6 linked regions of the Ovis aries genome follow. The protein of the gene in region 6 binds, or shares a complex with, the protein of the main gene of each other region. Links are inferred from orthologs where the notes say so. Each region holds a gene or a part of one and is shown on either strand. Other genes may lie near its edges.

Region 1 (2,722 bases), on a different chromosome or scaffold from region 6:
AGAGGTCTCTCTCAGCCATGTGAGCACAGGGAGAAGGCAGCTATCTGCAGTCCAGGAAGACTCCTTACCAGTACCTGACCTATTGGCACCCTGATCTCAAGACTTCTAGTCTTCAGAACTGTGAAAACATAAATTTCCATTGTTTAAGCCAGCCACTCAGTCTGACATTTTTGTTATGGGAGCCCAAGCTGACTAATACAGGCACCCAGTGTAACTCCACTCTGCCGGTTACCACCAGGTCATTCTTCAGGGTCAAGCAGACTCTGACTAGCAAAAATAGTAACATACTGATCTTTTATTATTCCACGCTCAATCTTGATTTCAGTTTAAAGTAGATTTTTAACTGGTTTTTGCTTTTTCAAATAAAAATATCAGGCCAGGTATCTTGAATCTCACAATCAATTCAGGAGCATTACAAGAATAATACAGAAAAAAAAGTTTTTAGTGAATTATAAGGGAGAGAAAAGCTGATAAATCATATAGTCAAACTCAAGCAGTAATCTTTTTAATTTTTCATCCTTTATTCTCTACATTGATAGGTTAAGAAAGTGAAACCTTCCTAAATACTGATTCATAGACAATGCTTATAAGCGGCACACGAAACAATCAGTTTCACAAAGAGTAATATCCAGTGATCCCTTTAAATGCAATTTTAATCCTTACTTTCAGCTAAGTGCAATAATACAATGAGCTAAATACACACAAAATTTGTGAACTACAAAAGTGGTTTCCATAGCCACACATGGTTTTAGTCAAGTATACATTTTCAGAATAAATAAATACTAACAAATATGTTAATAAAACACTACCCGAAATGCTTACCTGCCATCAACTTTTCAGCAATGCCATTCCTGCTACTGAAAGCACTTTCTGAAGTTTTAATCTGACCTGGGAAAACGAGTTCTTTTAAAATCTGACAAACAGTATATTATAAACCCCAAAGATTTTTAATCCAGTATGTCTTTCAACACAGAACCATTCATAGGAAATTCTTAGTTTCTCAAAAAATAAAAAAAATCACTCTTGTTATCCAAAGAAGAGTATTAAATTATCTTAAGACAAATAAACACTCCTACAAAAGACTGTACTTTCTAATATTGTTTTCTCCTTAAAAGAAACACAAACCAGTTCACCATCTTTTAATAACTTACAATACTTTGGTCTAAAAGCTTTAGAAATATATGAAACACATCTTAGCTATCAAAGTCAAAGGTGCCATTTAGATTTCACAGATTAAACAGCTATAGTACAACCTACAATGGCACAAGTATACATAAATATTAATTCATCATTGAGATGGTCAAGAGTCAGAGGAAACTGAATGGTTTGCAAACCAAAGGTACTTTGACTTACATGTGGTCATTAAAATCTAATATGTCATTCAAGTAGGGTAATATAATGGCAGGCAATTAAAGGCTCATATATCACTCTAAAATTGAAAACATGAAAATAAAGCCTGAAAACTTTGTGGTTCTCCATTTTTCATTCACATGGTTAGGTATCAGGGCCTTACTGTGGAAAATACAGTTATTAAGTATGGTTTCCCCAGAACATAATGAAGCTTCAGAAAAGATGTCAAGATCCATAGTTTGCTTCATCAAATGCTTTTCTAGCGCGTTTCAATTCTTCATTCATAGTAAGCAAGTCTTTAACCCTAGCAAACTTTCTTGGGTCCTTTCGAATCAAGAAGACGATATCTTCAACTTGTACCCGACCTTGTCTTCCAATTGACATTGCCTTATGAGTCTATTACAAAGAAACATATTAAATTCAATTAATTTTTCAAAAATCTAACATTTTATTTTTTTAACTATAATGCTGGTGAGTTTGAAGACTTCTCTTCTAATTATTATAGCTATTCATTTGTGAATTGTCTTTCTATTAATGTTCTTTGTCCACTTCTACCATTATTAGCAATGTTTCAGTGCTTGACAGACATTTTTTACACTAAAGTCATTAAAACTATCAAATCCATAGATGCTTCTTTTTGTATTTTGATATACATATAGTTGATCTTCATTTGTATAAAATGATTTTGTAATTTCTCTGTAACCACCCACTTCATTTAAACTTTGTGTCCATCTTGGTAGCTAATAAATATTGGTGGCTTTTCTTTAGACAAATCTCATCCCCTATGATTACATAATCATACTGTGTAAAACAAAAAACTCCTTGCAGCATTATTTCTAATGACTGAAAAAAAAGAAACTAAATATTTAATAAGGCATTGAACAAATTTGAGTACATCTAGCCAATTAATATTATGAAGCCATCAAAAATATTAAAAGTATTCTGCAGTGACACAGGGAAAGCAGGCTCTATGACTGTATGTACTACATGATTTCAATTTTGTAAAGTTTTAAAACGTGTAAAAAGACAAAAGAATATTCACAAAAATCTCAGCATCAGTTATCCCTTGGTAGAAGGGTTATAGCTTTCTATTTTCTTCTGGGCACTCTTTAATACTTTCTAAATTTAATATAAGCATATATAAAATAAATTTAATAATACTTTCTAAATTTAATATAAGCAGAAAAAGATTTTTTAAAATGCATACTCTCTGACCCAGTAATTTTACTTCTATTATTCTTTATGAAGGAAATAATCTAAAACAAAGGGTAAAAATTCACAGGAACTGAACACAGCCAAACTCCGTATACCCATATATATACATGTATATCTCTCTCCATCCTTAATGATAAACGGTAACCAGAAACTTCCA
Region 2 (4,007 bases), on a different chromosome or scaffold from region 6:
TAATCTGGTCTTTGGATGGTCCTTAAAGATTACCAGATTAATTTGGTGTGTACGTTTCAAAGTACAAAATTTGGCTGGCAAACTATAAACGATGCTTAAATACACAGCTCTTCGCAGTGAAGAGTCCTAAAGAGAGTGCCTTTCCACAACCCTAGTTCTTTCAGTGCACTGTCAAGGAAAAGTATTAAGATAAAGCGGGTAAGTTAAAAAGAAAGAAAAGCTCACATACAACATGCAAGAATACACACATTCAAAGGTCCGCCTTCTGAGTATTTTTCCCCTGAACTTACGCTAGCCCTTAAAACTAAACACTGATCAATGAAACTAAGTCTGTGCAAGTAATCCTACCTGCTATTTAAAACAACTCAAAATGGTGATTTGATTAGACCTATTAGCTAGACAGGGCTTCCCTGATGGCTCAGAGGTTAAAGCGTCTGCCTGCAATCGGGAGACCTGGGTTCGATCCCTGGGTCAGAAAGATTCCCCTGGAGAAGGAAATGGAAACCCACTCCAGTATTCTTGCCTGGAGAATCCCATGGACGGAGGAACCTAGTGGGCTACAGCCCATGGGGTCGCAGAGTCGGACACGACTGAGCGACTTCACTTTCGCTAGACAGCTATATTTAATCACATGGCCAATCAACCCTAACTTTTAATCTCAGATGTTCAACCTGCCCCGTGCCTGCTGGCTAGAGAAGCACATTCAGACAGGTCCATTTTTAAAGCTCTTCAGAGCGGAGGTCAGGTGTCAATTTCTATCTGCTGTCTACGTAAAGCTGGCCATCCACATCAAGATCCAGTGACCCGCCTATAAGGTGAAGCCCTGAAGAACAAGAGCTAGCCGAGCAACCTCGGAGAGGGAGGCCTGAGACTGGAAGGGCAGCGCCGGGCAGACAGACTTAAGCAGGGATATGGAGGAAGAAAGAGAAAGCGGCGGCTCTGCGGGTTTTACCCTCCGTTGAAAGCGTAGGGCGAAAAGCGCAGCTGCAAAGGGCCCACGGAGCTGTGCGGTTCCATGGCCAGGTCTCGGCCCGCGCCCGAGTACGAGGCAACGGAGGACAACATTCCGCGGCTGCTCTCCTGCTGTCTCACGGCAAGATGGCTGCCTCGACCGGAAATTGTGCCGTTTCCGGTTTCCGCGGCGCTGCCTCCGGCCGCTCTATCTCGCGCCAGTCGTTGCTCCTGGAGGCCAGAGCCCTCCCTTTCCAGTCGGTAGCTATTGCCTGCTCTACGAAGAGACCTGGCAGTGAGGTACAGGCTTTCTTTTCCAGGCAAATATTCGAAATCACTCGTGATGGATAGAAATTTTAAAGTCTGAGCTTACAAAGACATTGGAAAAACTATGGAGCAACGGAAACTCGAAGAGTCTATTGAAGTGTAAATTCGGAAAGGGACTGGCATTACTTGACATAGTTGAAAATACACACACATCATGACCCAGCAGTTTCACGCCGAGGTATGTACCCTGGCCAGAAGACGTGAAAGAATGTTCATAAAGATGTTCTTAATGGCCCCAAACTGGAAATGAGCTAAATATCCATAAACTGCAGAATGGATAAAGCAACTGAGGGATGTGGATGTGCAAAAGCAAGCAAATTAACTGACTTTGGCTAGAGGGAAAGGTCCTCCTTGGCTAGGGATGGGTTGGAGGTTGTAGTGCTAGCAATACTGGGTTTCTTTACTTGATTTAATGTTTGCCTGCTCAGTAGATCAGGCGTGTCCGACTCTGCGACCACACGGACTATGCCCATCAGGCTCCTCTGTCCATGGGGTATTTACAGGCAAGACTACTGGAGCAGGTTGACATTTCCTCCAAGGGATCTTCCTCCCCCAGGGATCGAACGCCCATCTCCCGTGTCTCTTGTACTGGCAGGCAGGTTCTTGGCCAACGAGCCACCAGAGGAGCCCTTGGTTGCTGTTGCTCAGTCGCTAAGTCGTGTCTAACTCTTTGCAACCCCATAAACTGCAGCCCGATAGGTTTCCCTGTCCTTCACTATCTCCCAGAATTTGCTCAAACCCATGTCCATTGTGTTGATCACATCCAACCATCCCATCTTCTGTTGCCCCCCGCCCCCCTCCTCCAGGCTTCCTTCTCCTGCCCTCATTCTTTTCTAGCGTCAGGGTCTTTTCTAATGAATCAGCTCTTTGCATCAAGTGGCCAAAGTATTGGAGCTTCAGCTTCAGTCTTTCCAATTAATGTTTAGGGTTGATTTCCTTTAAGATTGACTGGTTTGATCTCCTTGCTGTCCAAGGGACTCTCAAGAGTCCCTCCAACACCACAGTTCAATTCTTTGGCACTCAGCCTTCTTTATGGTCCAACTCTCACATCTGTACATAACTCTGGAAAAATCACAGCTTTGCCTATACAGACATTACCAGCAAAGTGATGTCTCTGATTTTTAATACACTGTCTCGGTTGGTCATAGCTTTCCTTCCAAGGAGCAAGCGTCTTTGAATTTCATGGCTGCAGTCGCTGCAGTGATTTAGGAGCCCAAGATCAAATCTGTCACTGTCTCCACTGTTTCCCCGTCTATTTGCCATGAAGTGATGGGACCGGATGCCATGATCTTCATTTTCTGAATGTTGAATTTTAAGCCAGCTGTTTCACTCTCCTCTTTCATCCTCATCAAGAGGCTCTTTAGTTCCTTTTCGCTTTCTGCCATTAGAGTGGTATCATCTGCATATATGAGGTTGTTGATATTTCTCCAGGAAATCTTGATTCCAGCTTGAGGTTCATCCAGCCACACATTTTGCATGATGTACTCTTCATATAAGTTAAATAAGCAGGATGACAGTGTACGGCCTTGATGTCCTCCTTTCCCAGTTTTGAACCCGTCCATTGTTCCATGTCTGGTTCTGTTGCTTCTTGACCTGCATACAAGTTTCTCAGGTGATAGATAAACTGGTCTGGTATTCCCATCTCTTTAAGAATTTTCCATTGTTTGTTGTGATCCACACAGTCAAAGGCTTTAGTGAAGTCAATGAAGCAGAAGTAGATGTTTTCCTGGAATTCCCTTGCTTTCTCTATGATCCAATGGATGTTGGCAATTTGATTTCTGGTACCTCTGCCTTTTCTAAATCCAGCTTGTACATCCGGAAGTTCTTGGTTTATGTACTGCCCTTACTTGATTTAATACCATCTATTAATCTGTATACATGTTTACATACTTCTTTATATGAATATCATATTTTACAATTTAAAAATGTTAATTAAAAAAAGCAAGCAAGCCTTTGACTAATATAGAATGGACTGCCTGATATATACATGCAATTCTGGAAGCAGAAAAAGATTTTTGAAAAGTACTTTTTTTAATTAAAACTTTTCCTATACTTTACTGTAAACAAAGCATAAAAGAAAGGGTTTTCTTTGATGGTTATGGACAGAGAAGTATTGTATTTATTCAGGTACTGTCTTGGATACAAAAATTCTGTAAAATCTTTCCTATCCTTAAGGAGCACACAACCTCATTGATTATGTGAAGCACAAAGGAAGCAAGCTAACAAGCATTACAACCTGCAATTATGCCTAAATGAACCATAGGATATTAGAGATACCAAAGGAACATTTCATGCAAAGATGGGCATAATAAAGGACAGAAGTGCTATGGACCTAACAGAAGCAGAAGATATTAAGAAAAGATGGCAAGAATACACATAAGAACTATACAAAAAAGCTCTTTATGACCCAGATAACCACAATGGTGTGATCACTCACCTAGAGCCAGGCATCCTGGAATGTGAAGTCAACTGGGTTTTAGGAAGCGTCACTACGGACAAAGCTAGTGGAGGTGATGGAATTCCAGTTGAGCTATTTCAAGTCCTAAAATATGCTGCTGTGAAAGTGCTGCACTCAACATGCCAGCAAATTTGGAAAACTCAGCAGTGGCCACAGGACTGGAAAAGGTCAGTTTTCATTCCAATCGCAAAGAAAGGCAATGCCAAAGAGTGTCCAAACTACTGCACAATTGCACTCATCTCACATGCTAGCAAAGTAATGCTCAAAATTC
Region 3 (3,114 bases), on a different chromosome or scaffold from region 6:
CAACTCTTGGAGACTTTTTCCTCATCTGTTAAGTGAGGATATTGATACCTGCCTCTAATATTCAGGAAATCATTAAGTGGAATAAACTTAATGGAATGCCTAACACACAGATGTAGGCAGCAACTATTAGTTCCCTTCCTCCCTTGCACTGCACACCCTGTGTCTACCTCCAGTATTTTAACTCCCATATATTGGTGAAATGGCAAGTTTAACTGTTAATGCCTCCCTTTGCAAGACCACTGGTGCCCGGAGGAGTAGAACCTTCTCCTACTTAACTCTGTATTTGCAGACCCTAGCTCAGGACTGACAAAAATAAATTTTTGCTGTGTTGAAAACCCCACTCTTTCACTAGCCGTGATTTTACATAAATTGTTTATTAAGACTGAAAGACAGCCATCCCTCTGTATCCTCGGGTTCTCCATCCACAGATTCACCCAACCGTGAACTGAAGATATATATATTTTTTAATTCCAATTATAAAAGACGAAACTTGAATTTACCATGCACCAGTAAACTATTCACATCGCATTGGATATTATAAGCAATCTAGAGATTATATAGAGTATACAGTGCAAATACTATGCCATTTCATATAACGGACTTGAGCATCCACGGATTTTGGTATACATGGGTTGGGGACGGGAGTCGGGGGAGTCCCGGAACCAATCCTACCAACCCTTCACCACCTATACGGACGGTGGACTGTACCTCTCTCCCCATCTGCAGCAGCACTGTGTCAGCTGTCCGGTTACCTTCACTTTGGGCAGCTGGCGGGGAAAGAGGCTATTCAACTCCACTACAAACCCTTAAAAGGCTGGATAAAGGAACTTAGAAAAGATGCAGACACGCAGGCGACCAACAGTAGAGAGGTGTCGGGGCGATGAGCATCAAAGCAAGAATTTTAGACGTCAGGCTGGGTGAGGGGGCCTCAAGCCCATAGAAGAGAATCCTCGACATTGAGGGGTTCCCATCCCAGCGGATCCACACTGGAGAACCGCGGGTCCGGACGCGAAATGTCCGCGCCAGCCCAGTTCCGCAACACTTGGTCTCCGCCCTCCCGCCTTTGTCAGGTAGCGGCTGGATGGGCGGGGAATAAAGGAAGGAGGCCTAAGGGAGGAGCGAACGTGGCGTGGGAGGAACGAGTCGTGGGGCGCGTGACGTCACCCCTGGTGTGTGCGTAAGGTGAACGGAAGCGGAAGCGGCTCTGTTCGCCGCCTCTCCCACCGGCCCGATGAGCTGCAGCGGCTCCGGCGCGGACCCCGAGGCGGCGCCGGCCTCCGCCGCCTCGGCCCCGGGCCCGGCGCCCGCGGTCTCGGCCCCCGCCGCGCTGCCCGCCGGCACCGCCGCGGAGAACAAGGCCAGCCCCGCGGGGACGTCAGGGGGGCCTGGGGCTGGAGCCGCGGCAGGGGGCACTGGAGCCGTGGCGGCGCGGGCCGGGGAGCCTGCCGAGCGGCGCGGGGCGGGTGAGGGCCGGGACGGGTGAGGGCGAGGGCCGCGCTTTGGGCTGGGCCCAGCGGCGGGTGAGGGCAGAGGGTAAGACACACCTAGCGGAACCCTCGAGCCTCCCACCTCCGTGTCTCAGTTTGCTGGTTTTCCTCCAGCTCCAGTGACGACCGGCGGCGCGGCGCCCCCGGAGGGGGCCATGTCTAACGGGGTTTACGTGCTGCCAAGCGCGGCCAACGGAGAGGTGAAGCCAGTGGTGTCCAGCACGCCTCTAGTGGACTTCCTGATGCAGCTGGAGGATTACACGCCTACGGTGGGCTTCCTGCCTGAACAAGGCTAATGACTCGCTGTCACGCCAACTTCTGCCACACCATCTGGATTTGCAGCATCCTCTTGTGTTTCTCTTCCTAGCTTTTGTGATTTTTCCCTTCTGCCCACCCAAACTGGGAGCTTCCTGATAGCCAGGCCTGCCCTCCATTTCCCTTACCCCGACTCTCAGCCCCGCTGTACACAGGGCTAACGCTTACAGTCGTCTAATTGATTTCTCAGATCCCTGATGCAGTGACTGGTTACTACCTGAACCGTGCTGGCTTTGAGGCCTCCGACCCACGCATGTGAGTAAACTCTGGGCAGGTTAGAGTGTTGGGTGTTTGTGTGGAGTTTATTGTCTATGCTCTTCTCATACCATTTTTTTCTCTCCAGAATTCGGCTCATCTCCCTAGCTGCCCAGAAATTCATCTCAGATATTGCCAACGATGCCCTACAGCACTGCAAAATGAAGGGCACAGCCTCTGGCAGCTCCCGAAGCAAGAGCAAGGTGTGAGGGGAGGCTCATTGATTCAGTAATTACTTCCTACAGCAGCAGAGGCTTAAATTATCCTGAAACCCCTTTGAGGGAAATTAAGCCTTAGGGGAGGTGAAAGACCTACTCAGGGTCACCTGCCTGGGATTGAAATCTGGAATTCCTGTGTTCAGCTGGTGCTCTTCCCTCTTCCCTCAGGACCGCAAGTACACTCTAACCATGGAGGACTTGACCCCTGCCCTCAGCGAGTATGGCATCAATGTGAAGAAGCCGCACTACTTCACCTGAGCCACCCAGTCTAAATGTACTTGTCTGTTCTCTTGTCCCCACACCAGCCTGTTTTCATAATAAACTTTATTGTGACAGGCAGGGCTGATCCCTCCCATGCTGGGAGACACCGTGTGGCAAGTGACAAAGCTTTGAGCCCATTCCCTTTTGGGGCCACAGTGGTAGGGATGGGGGCAGGGGATGGGCCCCATGGCTGGGGTAGTACCATGACTAGTGGCAGGGGAGGCAACCAGAGGCCTACTGCTTTGGGGAGGTGCACTCCCCTAACCGTGTCCTGACACCTCTGGAGTTCAGATAAGGACTTTCCAGCTCTACTTGTCCTGCATCTTCTCCAGGATAGGCACGATCATGTCAAACTTGGGCCGCTTAGCAGGGTCTTCATTCATGCAGATCTTCATGAGTTTACAAACGTGGGGGGAAATGCCTGGTGGGATGGTAGGCCGAAGGCCTTCCAATGCCACCTGCAAACACAAGGAAAAACAAGGTGAGTCTCAGAACTTGAGTCTCATGTCGGGAGAGACGTCTAGCCCTCAGGACAGGATTCTGTGTATTTGAATCAATGTGGCAGGAGCCCAGCCCCA
Region 4 (3,500 bases), on a different chromosome or scaffold from region 6:
TGCTCAGTCGTTGTGACCCCATGGACTGTAGCCCTCCAGGCTGCTCTGTCGATGGGGATTTCTGGGCAAGAATACTGGAGTGGCTAGCCACTACTCCTCTAGGGGATCTTCCTGACCCAGGGATCGAACCCGTGTCTCCTGGACTGAAGACAAATTCTTTACCTCTGCGTCACCTGGGAAGGTCCTTTGTTCCTACTGTTGTTTATCAGTTGCTCAGTGGTATCCAACTCTTTGCCACTCCGTGCACTGCTGCATGCCAGGCTTCTCTGTCCTTCAGCATCTCCCAGAACTTTCTCACATTCATGTCCATTGAGTCAGTGATGCCATTCAACCATCTCGTCCTCTGTTGTCCCCTTCTCCTTCTGCCTTCAGTCTTTCCCAGCATCAGGGTCTTTTCCAGTGAGTCGTCTCTCCACATCAGGTGGCCATAGTATTGGAGCTTCAGCTTCAGCATCAGTCCTTCCAATGGATATTCAAGGTTGATTTCCCTTAGGATTGACTGATTTGATCTCCTTGCAGTCCAGGGAACTCTCAAGAGTCTTCTCCAACACCACAGTTCAAAAGCATCACTTCTTCAGCTCTCAGCCTTCTTTATGGTCCAGCTCTCACATCTGTACATGACTCCTGGAAAAACTAGCTTTGACTATATGGACCTTTGTTGGCAAAGTGTGATGTCTTTGTCTTTTAGTACATTGTCTAGGTTTGTTATAGCTTTTTTCCCGAGGAGTAAGTGTCTTTTCATTTCATGGCTGTAATCATTGTCTGCAGTGATTTTGGAGCCCAAGAAAAGAAAATATGGTGCTGTTTCCACTTTTTCCCCATCTGTTGGCCATGAAGTGATGGGACCACATGCCATGATCTTAGATTTTTTTGAATGTTCCTATAGACAGTTAAAATATTTAATAAAACAATGGAGGTCTTTGTGTTACTTTCATAGGTTGTAGAGTGTGTATTTTATGATAACGCCCAACTGATACTCAGGTGGGTGATCAGAGTCATGAGCGGAGTCCTGGTTTCTCACCTGCTCAAGTTGAAATCTGTGTTACTTTCTGCCTTCGTTGATGGTGAGGGAGATGGGCTCCACAGAGATGGAGAAGTGTCTGCTGGCCACGGCTGGAGCCGGTGTGCCTTGAGCCAGTGTGAGGGCAGGGCTCCCTGAGCCCCTCTTCCAGAGGGGAGGGCTCTGCTTTAATCATGCTTCATTGCAGCAGAAAGATGAGACATAGCAGAGTCAGGCACTGCGATCATCACCTGCTGCCCTTGAAGCCTGTGGGGACAGGAAACCCTGAGGTTTTCCCTGAGCTTGTGCCAAAACGTGGCCTGCACCTCTGGGGGCCACCGTGTATCTGTTCTTCCGGATGTTGTGAATTTCCACAGGATTTATCGCAGAGATAATGTGGTCCAGGGCACCGCCCCCCCCAGCCTCCTCCTCGAGTGCTTGTAGCACAGGGCAAGCCCCCAGGTGACTGTTGTAAAACTCAGAAGCTGGGTTTTGAGCATCTGGCCTGAGGCTGTGGTGGGTCTCAGGCGGCCCTGGCACCCATGCTGGCATCTGGGGAGAAGCTGCTTGTTCCCGCTGGTTCAGAAGCTCTCCGGACCGTGTCCCCTGGGTGCTGACCTCAGGGCCCCACATGCGGCTCTGCTCCAGGAGCTCGAGGTGGTGTGGAGGCACTAGACCTGGGGTACCATCCAACCTGCTTGGTCCCTTTGGACGGCCGGGACCCTGGGCTGGGGATGGGTGCCGGCAGCCCCCTTGGGGGTGGGGGTGTGTGCTCACGCGCCCCGCGGGCTCTCTCCAGGTGATCCAGCCACCACCCAAGCCTGGAGCGCTGATCCGGCCGCCGCAGGTGACACTGACGCAGACGCCCATGGTCGCGCTCCGGCAGCCCCACAACCGCATCGTGCTCACCACGCCCCAGCAGATCCAGCTGAACCAGCTGCAGCCAGGTGAGCGCCTGACCCTGTCCGCCTGGTCCTCATCACTGTGGCACTCACAGCTCAAGCTTGGCTGCTTCACATGTGCCCTTCAGTCCCCACCCTGGCAGCATGGTTTTTAGAGGACGGGATTCCTTACCAGCAGTCATTCTTACACCTCGAAAAGTTTGATGAAGTGCAGGAAAATAAGTGCTTGAGAGAGGCTCCCTGCATTTTTACTCTAGTTTAGAGTTAGTAACGGTGTTTCTTACGGTTTAGGAATCTTCCTCGTGGCGGGTTGGGGGTAATGGCCTCCCTCGGCCCACTCAGCCTTGGCGCGAGTCTGTGCAGGGGGTACACTCTTGCGTCTTGCTCTGCAGTCCCTGTGGTGAAACCTGCTGTGTTACCTGGAACCAAAGCTCTTTCTACTGTCTCCGCACAAGCTGCTGCTGCACAGAAAAATAAACTCAAGGAGCCCGGGGGAGGCTCGTTTCGGTAAGGAGTGTGCACTAGAGGCGCCAGAGGGAAGGCCACGTGGGTGCCGGCCTGTGCCTAGGAGCGACTGCTCTGTGGCACCTTTTGAAGCTGTGTTCCCTCCACGCTCAGCTCTGATCTCCATGCGTGTGTTTTCCCACTAAGCAACTCGGGGAGGTTTGCTGCAGACACAGGGTGGGAAGGCAAGCCAGCTGACTCTGTGCAAGCTGGCAGGAGGTTTGTTTCTGAGATACGACGGCTCAGACTTCTGAGTGCATCTTGGTCCTCATAGAGGACCCATCCTGTGACCTCCCATCAGTTTCACAGCCTTTAGAGGTTCTGCGCTCTGGTTTCTTGACGGGCAGCTGGTCTGAGTGTTGCCCTAGGAATGGCTGTGTTATCTCCTCTGGTTTCAGTCTAGAGGTGGTGAAGTGTGCACATGTTGGGGGCCTGTTGGTCCTTCCCTTCACAGACGCTCCGGCCCCAAACGGTTAGGGAGCAGGCCTGGTGTTGGCAGCACTGGGAGCCTTCGGGGCCCACATTAGAGCTGGGCTCCAGGCAGGACGAGGAGGTGGGGGCCAGGCAGGGTGGGAAGGATGCTCATGAGGGTGAGGGAGGTTGTGGAGCTGGGAGACACGTCTACTGGTGGGTCAGAGAGGAAAGAAACGAGGGCTCCCAGAGACCATGCTTCCTTCTGCAGGTGAGGGAGCCAGCTATGCAGAGCAGGTCAACCAGATGGGCCTGGTGGGGTTGGGTCCCTGCTGAACAGTCAGGTGACAGTTCTGGGAAAGCCATAGCTGGGGCTGCCCACCTGCCCTGGGGCCAGTGATGCACAATGGCAGCAGCACGCCCAGCGCCCAGGTCTTGTTGTCTAGAACCAATTCTTCCACAGTGACCAGGTGCTTCGCGAGGCTGCAGGTTCCAGGCGGGGGTCAGGAGGATGCAGGATAAGTTAGTGCCTTTCCAGTGGTTAGAAAGTGGTGCTCGAGGGTCAGAGTTTCGCAGAGTTCTACCCCTCATTGAGTTAGAGTCGCTGCCTCTTGTTTCCTGAAGGGACGATGATGACATCAATGACGTAGCGTCCATGGCTGGAGTGAACCTGTCAGAAGAAA
Region 5 (4,160 bases), on a different chromosome or scaffold from region 6:
GAAAAACCAAACTGGGGTCAAGCCATTTAAATTCCACCCCATGATACGCAATATAAGTCTGCTGAAACCAAAAGGGACACATTCACATCTGCTGTTTGCAAACCTCCAGCCTCCTAACAATTTGTAGGACCCTTGACTGGAGAGGAAATGTCTATCAAGTGACTCTCTTTCATTTTAAGGCAATACAGAATGTATTTTCTCCCACAAATTATTAGAGGATTTAGATTATATTTATGTTCTTCGGATGGGTCAATTTTTTCATTGAATTACCAAATATTTCTTACGCCCCACGTTTTGATATGAGGCAATGGGACCAGATGAGCACACGGTTAGCCTTCTAATTATCATGGACCTTCCAATCTTCGGTGAGGGAGACAATAAGTACAAAATAAATAAAGTGAATTTTCTACATGTTAATCACATCTTAAGCGAGTTCCCTTAAACTTAAGATGCAGGTGTCGATATTTTAGAGAACAGAATTTTAATTTTAATGATAGTGGAACTCTACTAAATTGACCCTATTAATAAATGGAAATGAACAGAAGTGAAAACTCTTACACTGTTAGTCCAAAGTACTATAAATCCATGTTAAGAATACCTGACAACCTAAAGAGGCAAGTAGAAAAGTTAGCTCAACAGTAGGGGTGAATTTTTTTTTAATTCCAAACTAAAAAATTACTGGCAAATTAGTGGCAGGCGATAATACTTCAGTTAAAGGTTAATCAGACCATTCGTCTTTCAGACAACGGTCCTAAATGAACACGGTCCTCCCGAAGAACACTACGTTCCCTGTTTACACTTATACCTACACCTAACACATTAAAAGAGAAATCACCCTTGTTGCCTCAGGAAGTCTCCAAAACACAAACAGACCGTGAGTCACAGGCCCCCTAAGGACACTTTAATTATCAACAAACACAGAATTACATAGTGGGCAGCACGTCCTCACGCCACTGATTCGGGTACTTTAAAATCTACAGGCATGGTTAGTTATGAATTCTTTTATCGGCTCCAGATTTAAGAATATAGTCTGGGAGACTCTGAGATGTTTCCAGAAACAAACACTATTTCCGCACGGACGCCCTATCTCCAGTAATCACACGGAAGCCTAAGGAAGTAACCGGCCCCAGGCGAGCTAGTTAAAGCTCTGGCTTAGCAGAGGCAGGCGAGACAATCTTTCTTAGAATTGCTTTCTGTTTTAAACACTTTAAAGACAGTGATTGTTTTGGAAACATGATCGCTACCTTCTCCTAAAACCAAAATCTCGCGAGACAACAAGTCACGCCGAACGGCGTAATCGCGCGTTGCGCCTGCGCGCGCTGAAACGCCCTGCACTTCCGCCGAAGGCGTGCTGTCACTCACGGACTCCTCCTGTCCTGCGGGGTGACGTAACGCTTTCTTTTCCGCTAGCTCTGCAGCTCCGGACGGAGGCACGCCGAGCTGCGGAGTTGCAAAGTCTGGCGCTCGGAGCTGCGGTTCTCTGCGAGATTTCACCTTGCCAGTTCCGAGTCATTTCACCGATAATCAATAGCGGATCGCTTTGCCAAGTGCCGGGAAGAACAAAGGAATCAAGAAAGAGACGCTCTGCTCCCGGCCTTGTTCTGAGTGGCTTTTTCCGCTCGTTCCTGTCCGGAGAATCTGGATTTATAATCGTCACTGGATTGTAAGTACCCGAGGCGAAGAGAGCTCACTACGCCCCGCGTTTTGAATATCTTTGTTCCGGGAGAGTTTGTGGTTTGGGCGTATCTGCTGAGCCTTACTTTCTGTGCTGAAAATCCGTAGGAGCTGCCATTTGCTTTCTCTGCATTGTTCTGCAGCGGCATCTAGAGGTTGAAACTTGGCGTTGCAGCTAATAGATTTAAATGGACATAAACGAGTAAGACAATGCATCAGTAACAACTGGTGTTCAGTCACGGCGTTTTCAAAAAGACTTGGGACTTAATTAAAAACAGATATATAGCTGATGTTCTACCTAGAACTCTTTGTAATTAAGGATTCAAGTTTATACAGAACTGGTCTTTCTGGTGAAGTACCTGGAACTTTTTAGTGCAACAAGTGGTTATTAGAGAAAAAGTGAATTACAAAGAAATAAAAATGAGTAAGAGCAAAGATGATGCTCCTCATGAACTAGAGAGCCAGTTTATCTTACGCCTACCCCCGGAATATGCCTCTACTGTGAGGCGGGCAGTACAGTCTGGCCATGTCAACTTGAAGGACAGACTATCAATTGAGTTACACCCTGATGGGCGTCATGGAATTGTCAGAGTGGACCGAGTCCCTTTGGCCGCAAAGTTGGTAGACCTGCCGTGTGTTATGGAGAGTTTGAAAACCATTGATAAAAAAACCTTTTACAAGACAGCTGATGTCTGTCAGATGCTTGTCTCTACAGTTGATGGTGATCTCTATCCTCCTGTGGAGGAACCAGTTGCTACTGCTGATCCCAAAGCAAGCAAAAAGAAGGATAAGGACAAAGAGAAAAAATTTGTTTGGAACCATGGAATTACTCTGCCTCTGAAAAATGTGAGAAAGAGAAGATTCCGTAAGACAGCAAAGAAAAAGTATATTGAGTCTCCAGATGTGGAAAAAGAAGTAAAGCGGTTGCTGAGCACAGATGCTGAAGCTGTCAGTACCCGCTGGGAAATAATTGCTGAAGATGAGACAAAAGAAACAGAAAATCAAGGCCTTGATATCTCTTCCCCAGGAATGTCTGGCCACAGGCAGGGCCATGACTCCTTAGAACATGATGAGCTTCGGGAGATATTCAATGACCTCAGCAGCAGCAGTGAAGATGAAGATGAAACACAACATCAAGATGAAGAAGATATAAACATCATAGACACTGAAGAAGATCTGGAAAGGCAGCTACAGGACAAACTAAATGAATCAGATGAACAGCACCAAGAAAACGAGGGAACCAATCAGCTGGTTATGGGAATTCAGAAACAGATTGATAACATGAAAGGCAAGCTCCAAGAGACCCAGGACAGAGCAAAGAGACAGGAGGATCTCATCATGAAAGTGGAAAACCTGGCTCTCAAAAACAGATTTCAGGCTGTGCTGGATGAACTGAAACAAAAGGAAGACCGGGAAAAGGAGCAGCTCAGCTCTTTGCAAGAAGAGCTAGAATCACTCCTAGAGAAGTGAGGAGTGGTTTCATACTTAATTTCATTACTGTGAGAGGTCAGCATTGAAAGAGAAAATTTTTTTTGTTTTCATTGCTTGTAAAACTTTGCAGTTCGCAGTTTCTTCCACTGTCTTCTATTGGATTTGTCTTGTAGACAAATGTGAACTTCTATCTCATTTGTCTTTTGGAACCACTTTGCTAGGTGTTTATCCCATAGGAAGTAGGAATGTATAGACAGATAAATGTGGAGAAGTTGTAGGATTAGTGGAGTGAAAAGTTCAACTTTGTTATTAATCACAGCTTCATTGCAGGACTTTGTGGCTGTTTCTCCGTTTAGAAGCTTCCATTGCTACTCTGTGATGACATCTGAGGTAAATCAGTAGAGTCTAGTCTGGAGGCAGTAAAGTTTGTTTGCATATGTTTTTTGATGCTATAGCTAATTTTCCAGCTATTCAAAGCAATTTTTTCGTATTTTTGCATTGCAAGTCATTTCGTAACGTTCAACAATAAATAAAAGCAAGTTAAGTTTCACTTTATAATGTGTCTTGCTCTTTTAGGGGTAATGGATATTATCCTCTTCTGAAGTGGTTTCCTGGTGGGGTTTAATATATTGACCAATTGGATTCTGTTTTGTAGGAAAAGAAGCAGTTATGTTCGATTTTAAGAAAAGAACACAGCAAGGGCAAAGAAATCAGGCAGTATCACCTGCTCCATTTGGAGGTTAGGAAATAAAGAGCCTTCCTAAACTATCTGAATGTTTTTTCCAGCCTAATCTCCCATTCTTCCACTGTTTTCAATCCTGAGCTTATTTACATTTTTTTCAAGGAGTTTAATTACTCCTCTTCCTCTATAATAGTCTAATGGGATAAGTACTCTTATGCACCTGTCATACCAGAGTCTAAGTTACCTGTTGCTCATATCCTTACTAAGCTGTTAATTCACTGAGATTAGGCATTTTGCCTTGTTAGTCACTGTAAAGAAGAGTAAAGCAGTTAAAAATCACAAGGTCAGGTGATGTAGTGCCTGAGTTGAGTGA
Region 6 (4,243 bases):
AGCAGCTGGCAGGTCTCCTCCTGAATCTGAGCGATGCCCATGGACTCGGCCACCACCTTCATGGACTCCGATGGCAGCACAGTGTTGCTCAGCTTCAGCTTCTTCTCCTCAGCCATTCTGGAGCCCCTCCTCCCCTCCCCGGAAGGATGATGCCCCAGGGCAGAGAGATGGAGACCCTGGCAGGGGTTGAGAGGAAACTTGAGAGTGAGACCTAAAGAGGGGCTGTCCAGTCAGGAGAGGCCACCACAAGGGGAGAGCAGTGGAGCATGAGGGGGATGGAGTTGGGGGATGTCTTCTGTCCATCCTCACATGAGCAGCACTCACTGAACAGGAGGTAGGACTTGGACCCAACTGGACGCAATTTATTGAGCTCTAGTTCTGTGCCAGGCACAGTACAAGTCAGGTATAGCAGAACGATCTCAGTTCTTAGTTTCAATCCCAGCCCCAGCACTACCTAGCAGTGTTGTCTAGGCAGGCTACTTAAATGCTCCTGGCTTTGGGTTTCTTCTCTGTAAAATGTGCAAAGTGTCCTTTTTACCTCAGGTGGTTGACATGCCTACCTTCATGTCTCTTGCCCCTTCTTGCATCATTATTCATGCTTGACAAATATAAAATGTTGGTTAAATACAACTTGCCCTGTCTGAGCCTATGTGCCCCTACCATTGAATGTGATGAGAAAATACACAGCCATGTTGACCAATCTGCACTTTAAATTCATGGCCACAAACTTCAGATGGGCTCTTGATGCTGCGCTGATGGTCACAGAGCTCAGTGCACTCAGGTTCCATCCCACCTGTCATCTCCTCCTCCCTGATTTTTGGCCATCAGAAGAGACTTCCCCAGGCTCCCATCGCTATGTCCACCCGCTGAGCATCTCTGGCACCCACATGCTCTGTCTTACCTGTTACTATAGAGGTTCTCGTCTCGCCCCTCCCCAACTCCTCTCCTTCTCTTGAACCTACCCCAGTCAGGATTTTGACTCCTGCTCTTGGCTTTCCTCCTCCTTCACTAGCCCCTTTACATTGCCTTTGCTGGTTCTTCCTCTTCTCCTCATCTGCCTGATGCTGGAATGCCCTGCCTTTGGTCCTCATATAGCTATGAGGTATACATATTCTCTTGATGACCTCAACCATTCTCACAGCTTTCAGTATTGCATACAGGCTAAGGATGGTAAATTTATATCCCCCACCCAGAACTTTATTCCCAACTCCAGACTTGTATATTTAACTGGCTACTTAAAATTTCTTCTGAACTCAACTCCTGACATCCCCCTCCCCACCTGCTCCAGCCTCAGCTTTCCTCATCTTCATAGCAATGCCATTAACCCAGATGCTTATTCATCATGTGAGCCCTCACCGCAGACCCATCAGGTGATCCGACTTGATCCCTCTGCTCCCACTGCGTGGCCAGCTCACCATTACCCACCTGCTGGGGAACCTTAAGAGCCTCCTGACAAGGTCTTCCTGCTTGCATCCTTGCTCCCTACATCTATTCCCAACCTAGCAGCCAGAATGATTCTGTCAAAATATAAATCAGATTGGGTCATTTCTCTGCTCGAAACCCTGTACTGGCTCCCAGTGTGCCACAGCATGAATACAAAATCCTTATTTCGGTCTTCGGGGTCCTTTATGATTTGCTATCTCCCCATCAAGTCTCTGACCTTTCCTTTCCTTCTTCCACTATGATCCAGCCCCATGGTCCTCCTTGCTGTTCCAAGATGCCAGGCATGTTTTTGCTTTGTGGTCTTGCTCTGTTCCCTCTGCCTGGAATGCCCTTCCCTAGATGTCCCCAGGCTGCCTATTCCCATTACTCTGTTTAATACTGCACCCCACCCCGGCTCTGCCTTTTTTTTTTTTAAATTCCCATGGAATTTAACGTCTGCTGATACATACTGTATTACTTCTTATGCTTCTCACTACATCGCCCCTTCCCTTCTATGTGTGGACAGAGAGCTTTGTTATGTTCACTGATGTATGCAGAGTCCCCAGACAGATACTCAACAAATACCTGCTGAATATATGAGTTGTAAGGCTTAGAGACTAGGAACTCACTAAGGACTCGGTACCATTATTATCGAACAAGACATAGGCCCAAGCTTGGCCATAATGTTCACTTGAACCTGGCATTAGGAAGTCTAATGTCAAAAGTGTTTAGGAGCGACTGCAAGGTGGTGAGGGGCAGGTGTGGGCCTGATGGAGGGGCGAGAAGAGGGGAGGGAAAAACAATTTCGTTCTTCTCAACCCATCCCAGGTCTCCTCCCCCACTTTTATAAATCTTATCTGCAGAGGACACATTTATTCAACACATACTCTAGACCTCGAGCCGAGTAAAGAGGAGGCGGTCGTGTCCCAGTACCCTGATGAGCTCCTACTAATCCTTCGATAGCCCGCGGTACCCTCTGCCAGTGTAAAGGCTCACAAAACACGCCACGGCCTCAGGAAACCTCAGGTCACTGGAGCGGCAAGGAGGCGTCACAGAAGATTAACTTCATCTAGATCCGTGTAGCATTCCCCAGCAGGGAAGCGGGTCGAAGGTTCTCCAGGCAATGGGTACAGCGCGAAAGAAAGCGTACAGAGCCCACCTCATCCCCCAACATCCCTCCAGTGCAAACACACAGAGCCCCCACGCACACGGACACTCAACCAACCGTCCCCCTCTGGGTCCCCACACGGGCCCTTCAAAGAGTCTAGACCCGGGTACCACTCAGACCCGCCCCCGCCAGCCGAACGCCCAGCGCAGGAAAAGCCTCTCACCGCCGCCAAAGCGCCGCTCACCCGGCGCTCGGCGCCATATTGGCCCCGCCCCCTCCGGGAGCAGGTCCTGGCAGAGACCGAGAGCGGGTCCCTTGCCCCTTCCCCGAGCCGGAGTGAGCTCCCTAGTCTCAGAGCCTGAAATGATATAAAAACGGTGTCTCTATGCTTGCGTGTAAGGAGCACACTCTCTTGCTGTAATTACTTCAGTTTATTCTTTCACTATGCGGCGGCCAGGACCTGCGGGAGGCGCCACAAAACCAGGTGGGGAAGCCCAGAGCGCAGCGAGGCCCCGCCCTCTTTCGAGGCGGCACTGCGCGTGCGCCTCCCGTGCCAGGCTGGATTAATGTTGCCGCCGACCGCCTGGCGATTTAAAGGGCCCGCTGCCTGCTCGAAGTTGGTTTGAAAGCAAGGGGTGGTTAGCTGTGGACGGCACTTGGTCATGGGACCTGTGCGGTTGGGAACGTTGCTTTTCATTTTGACTGTGTACGGTGCTTGGGCTGGGACGCCGAAGGAGGAGGACGATGACACAGAACGCTTGCCCAGCAAATGCGAAGGTATCTAAAGGGAGTAGCCCCTATTCGCATCCTTCTGCCCTACCTCCTTCGTCTGGGCCAGACCAAATGGAACGTGATGGGTGGGTCACTCGACCTCCTTGAGGACCTGAGGAAGGTTCTGATGGAGCCTGGTGGAATTCGAATGGGGCCAACAGAGGGAACGCATAGCGCTACCCCCAAACTATGGCACTCCAATTCCCATGAGACATCCAGAAGGGGGGTGGGGGGGTTGCCTGCTTTTTCTTGCTGGTTTGGGCCCCAGTGGCTTGTGGGAATTGTAGTTCAGACTATCGGCCCGATCGCCCACTCCAGTCAGCATCTTCTCTGTGTGTGTGCGTGTGTTTCCCCCAAAGGACCAGAGCTAAATCTGAAGATCCTGCAGGAGTGAGCTGTCAGGCTCATTACCTTGTAGATATCCTCTGCTCCACCCCAGCAGAGACGCTCCCAAATTACAGGCCCTACGCCCTCCTGCGGGGGTTTGAGAGTGAATAAATCAGGCTTTGAAGCTCATAAAAGACAGAGGTGGCCAAACAACTGGGAGAGGTTCCGCATAACTGTGAGGCTTTGCAGAGCGTCTGCACTGTGTGGATTTTTCATCGAGCAGCATCTTCTGTAGCTGCATCTGTGGGACCAGCTGGGAGGGGGCACTTCAGAGCTGAGCCGCGGAGTGCCCTGGTTCCCTAGTTGGTTGCCTTCTTGGCTTTAATTTCTTCCTGGATTCTATTCCCCTTTGCCTTACTCCACCCTGCATTTCAGTATCAGTGTTCTTCATGACATGGTCCTAACCGCTCCTTTCCTTTCATTTGTGTTCTCACTCTTAACCTGCTACACCTGTCAAGTCTTTCTAAACACAGGCTCAGTTGAGTCCCTCCTTGCTTTAACACCTCTTCAGGCCTCCTGCTGTGATTAGACTCCACGTTTTTGGCACATCATTCA

The links.
Region 1: TAF6 (region 6) and TAF13 share a complex: the UniProt entries of both Homo sapiens proteins name them as parts of the TFIID basal transcription factor complex. The link is inferred for Ovis aries from reciprocal best matches to the Homo sapiens genes TAF6 and TAF13.
Region 2: TAF6 (region 6) and TBP share a complex: the UniProt entries of both Homo sapiens proteins name them as parts of the TFIID basal transcription factor complex. The link is inferred for Ovis aries from reciprocal best matches to the Homo sapiens genes TAF6 and TBP.
Region 3: TAF6 (region 6) and TAF10 share a complex: the UniProt entries of both Homo sapiens proteins name them as parts of the TFIID basal transcription factor complex. The link is inferred for Ovis aries from reciprocal best matches to the Homo sapiens genes TAF6 and TAF10.
Region 4: TAF6 (region 6) and TAF4 share a complex: the UniProt entries of both Homo sapiens proteins name them as parts of the TFIID basal transcription factor complex. The link is inferred for Ovis aries from reciprocal best matches to the Homo sapiens genes TAF6 and TAF4.
Region 5: TAF6 (region 6) and TAF7 share a complex: the UniProt entries of both Homo sapiens proteins name them as parts of the TFIID basal transcription factor complex. The link is inferred for Ovis aries from reciprocal best matches to the Homo sapiens genes TAF6 and TAF7.

What each region holds. Positions count from the first base shown.
Region 1 is NC_056054.1:86,372,192-86,374,913, forward strand, and holds the end of TAF13 (transcription initiation factor TFIID subunit 13), read right to left. Parts: intron 1,747-2,722; coding exon 1,576-1,746; 3' UTR 501-1,575; downstream 1-500. UniProt on the Homo sapiens protein: The TFIID basal transcription factor complex plays a major role in the initiation of RNA polymerase II (Pol II)-dependent transcription.
Region 2 is NC_056061.1:91,733,620-91,737,626, forward strand, and holds the start of TBP (TATA-box-binding protein), read left to right. Parts: upstream 1-1,207; 5' UTR 1,208-1,456; intron 1,457-4,007. Other genes in the region: PSMB1 (proteasome subunit beta type-1), read right to left, coding at 953-1,065. UniProt on the Homo sapiens protein: The TFIID basal transcription factor complex plays a major role in the initiation of RNA polymerase II (Pol II)-dependent transcription.
Region 3 is NC_056068.1:46,195,751-46,198,864, forward strand, and holds TAF10 (transcription initiation factor TFIID subunit 10), read left to right. Parts: upstream 1-1,206; 5' UTR 1,207-1,231; coding exon 1,232-1,463; intron 1,464-1,601; coding exon 1,602-1,756; intron 1,757-1,992; coding exon 1,993-2,057; intron 2,058-2,145; coding exon 2,146-2,260; intron 2,261-2,443; coding exon 2,444-2,533; 3' UTR 2,534-2,614; downstream 2,615-3,114. Other genes in the region: ILK (integrin-linked protein kinase), read right to left, coding at 2,845-2,994. UniProt on the Homo sapiens protein: The TFIID basal transcription factor complex plays a major role in the initiation of RNA polymerase II (Pol II)-dependent transcription.
Region 4 is NC_056066.1:54,836,453-54,839,952, forward strand, and holds part of TAF4 (transcription initiation factor TFIID subunit 4), read left to right. Parts: intron 1-1,799; coding exon 1,800-1,947; intron 1,948-2,294; coding exon 2,295-2,409; intron 2,410-3,441; coding exon 3,442-3,500. UniProt on the Homo sapiens protein: The TFIID basal transcription factor complex plays a major role in the initiation of RNA polymerase II (Pol II)-dependent transcription.
Region 5 is NC_056058.1:50,054,608-50,058,767, reverse strand, and holds TAF7 (transcription initiation factor TFIID subunit 7), read left to right. Parts: upstream 1-1,393; 5' UTR 1,394-2,094; coding exon 2,095-3,144; 3' UTR 3,145-3,660; downstream 3,661-4,160. UniProt on the Homo sapiens protein: The TFIID basal transcription factor complex plays a major role in the initiation of RNA polymerase II (Pol II)-dependent transcription.
Region 6 is NC_056077.1:36,773,985-36,778,227, reverse strand, and holds the start of TAF6 (transcription initiation factor TFIID subunit 6), read right to left. Parts: upstream 2,801-4,243; 5' UTR 2,754-2,800; exon of another isoform or gene 2,310-2,753; intron 177-2,309; 5' UTR 117-176; coding exon 1-116. Other genes in the region: CNPY4 (protein canopy homolog 4), read left to right, coding at 3,193-3,307. UniProt on the Homo sapiens protein: The TFIID basal transcription factor complex plays a major role in the initiation of RNA polymerase II (Pol II)-dependent transcription.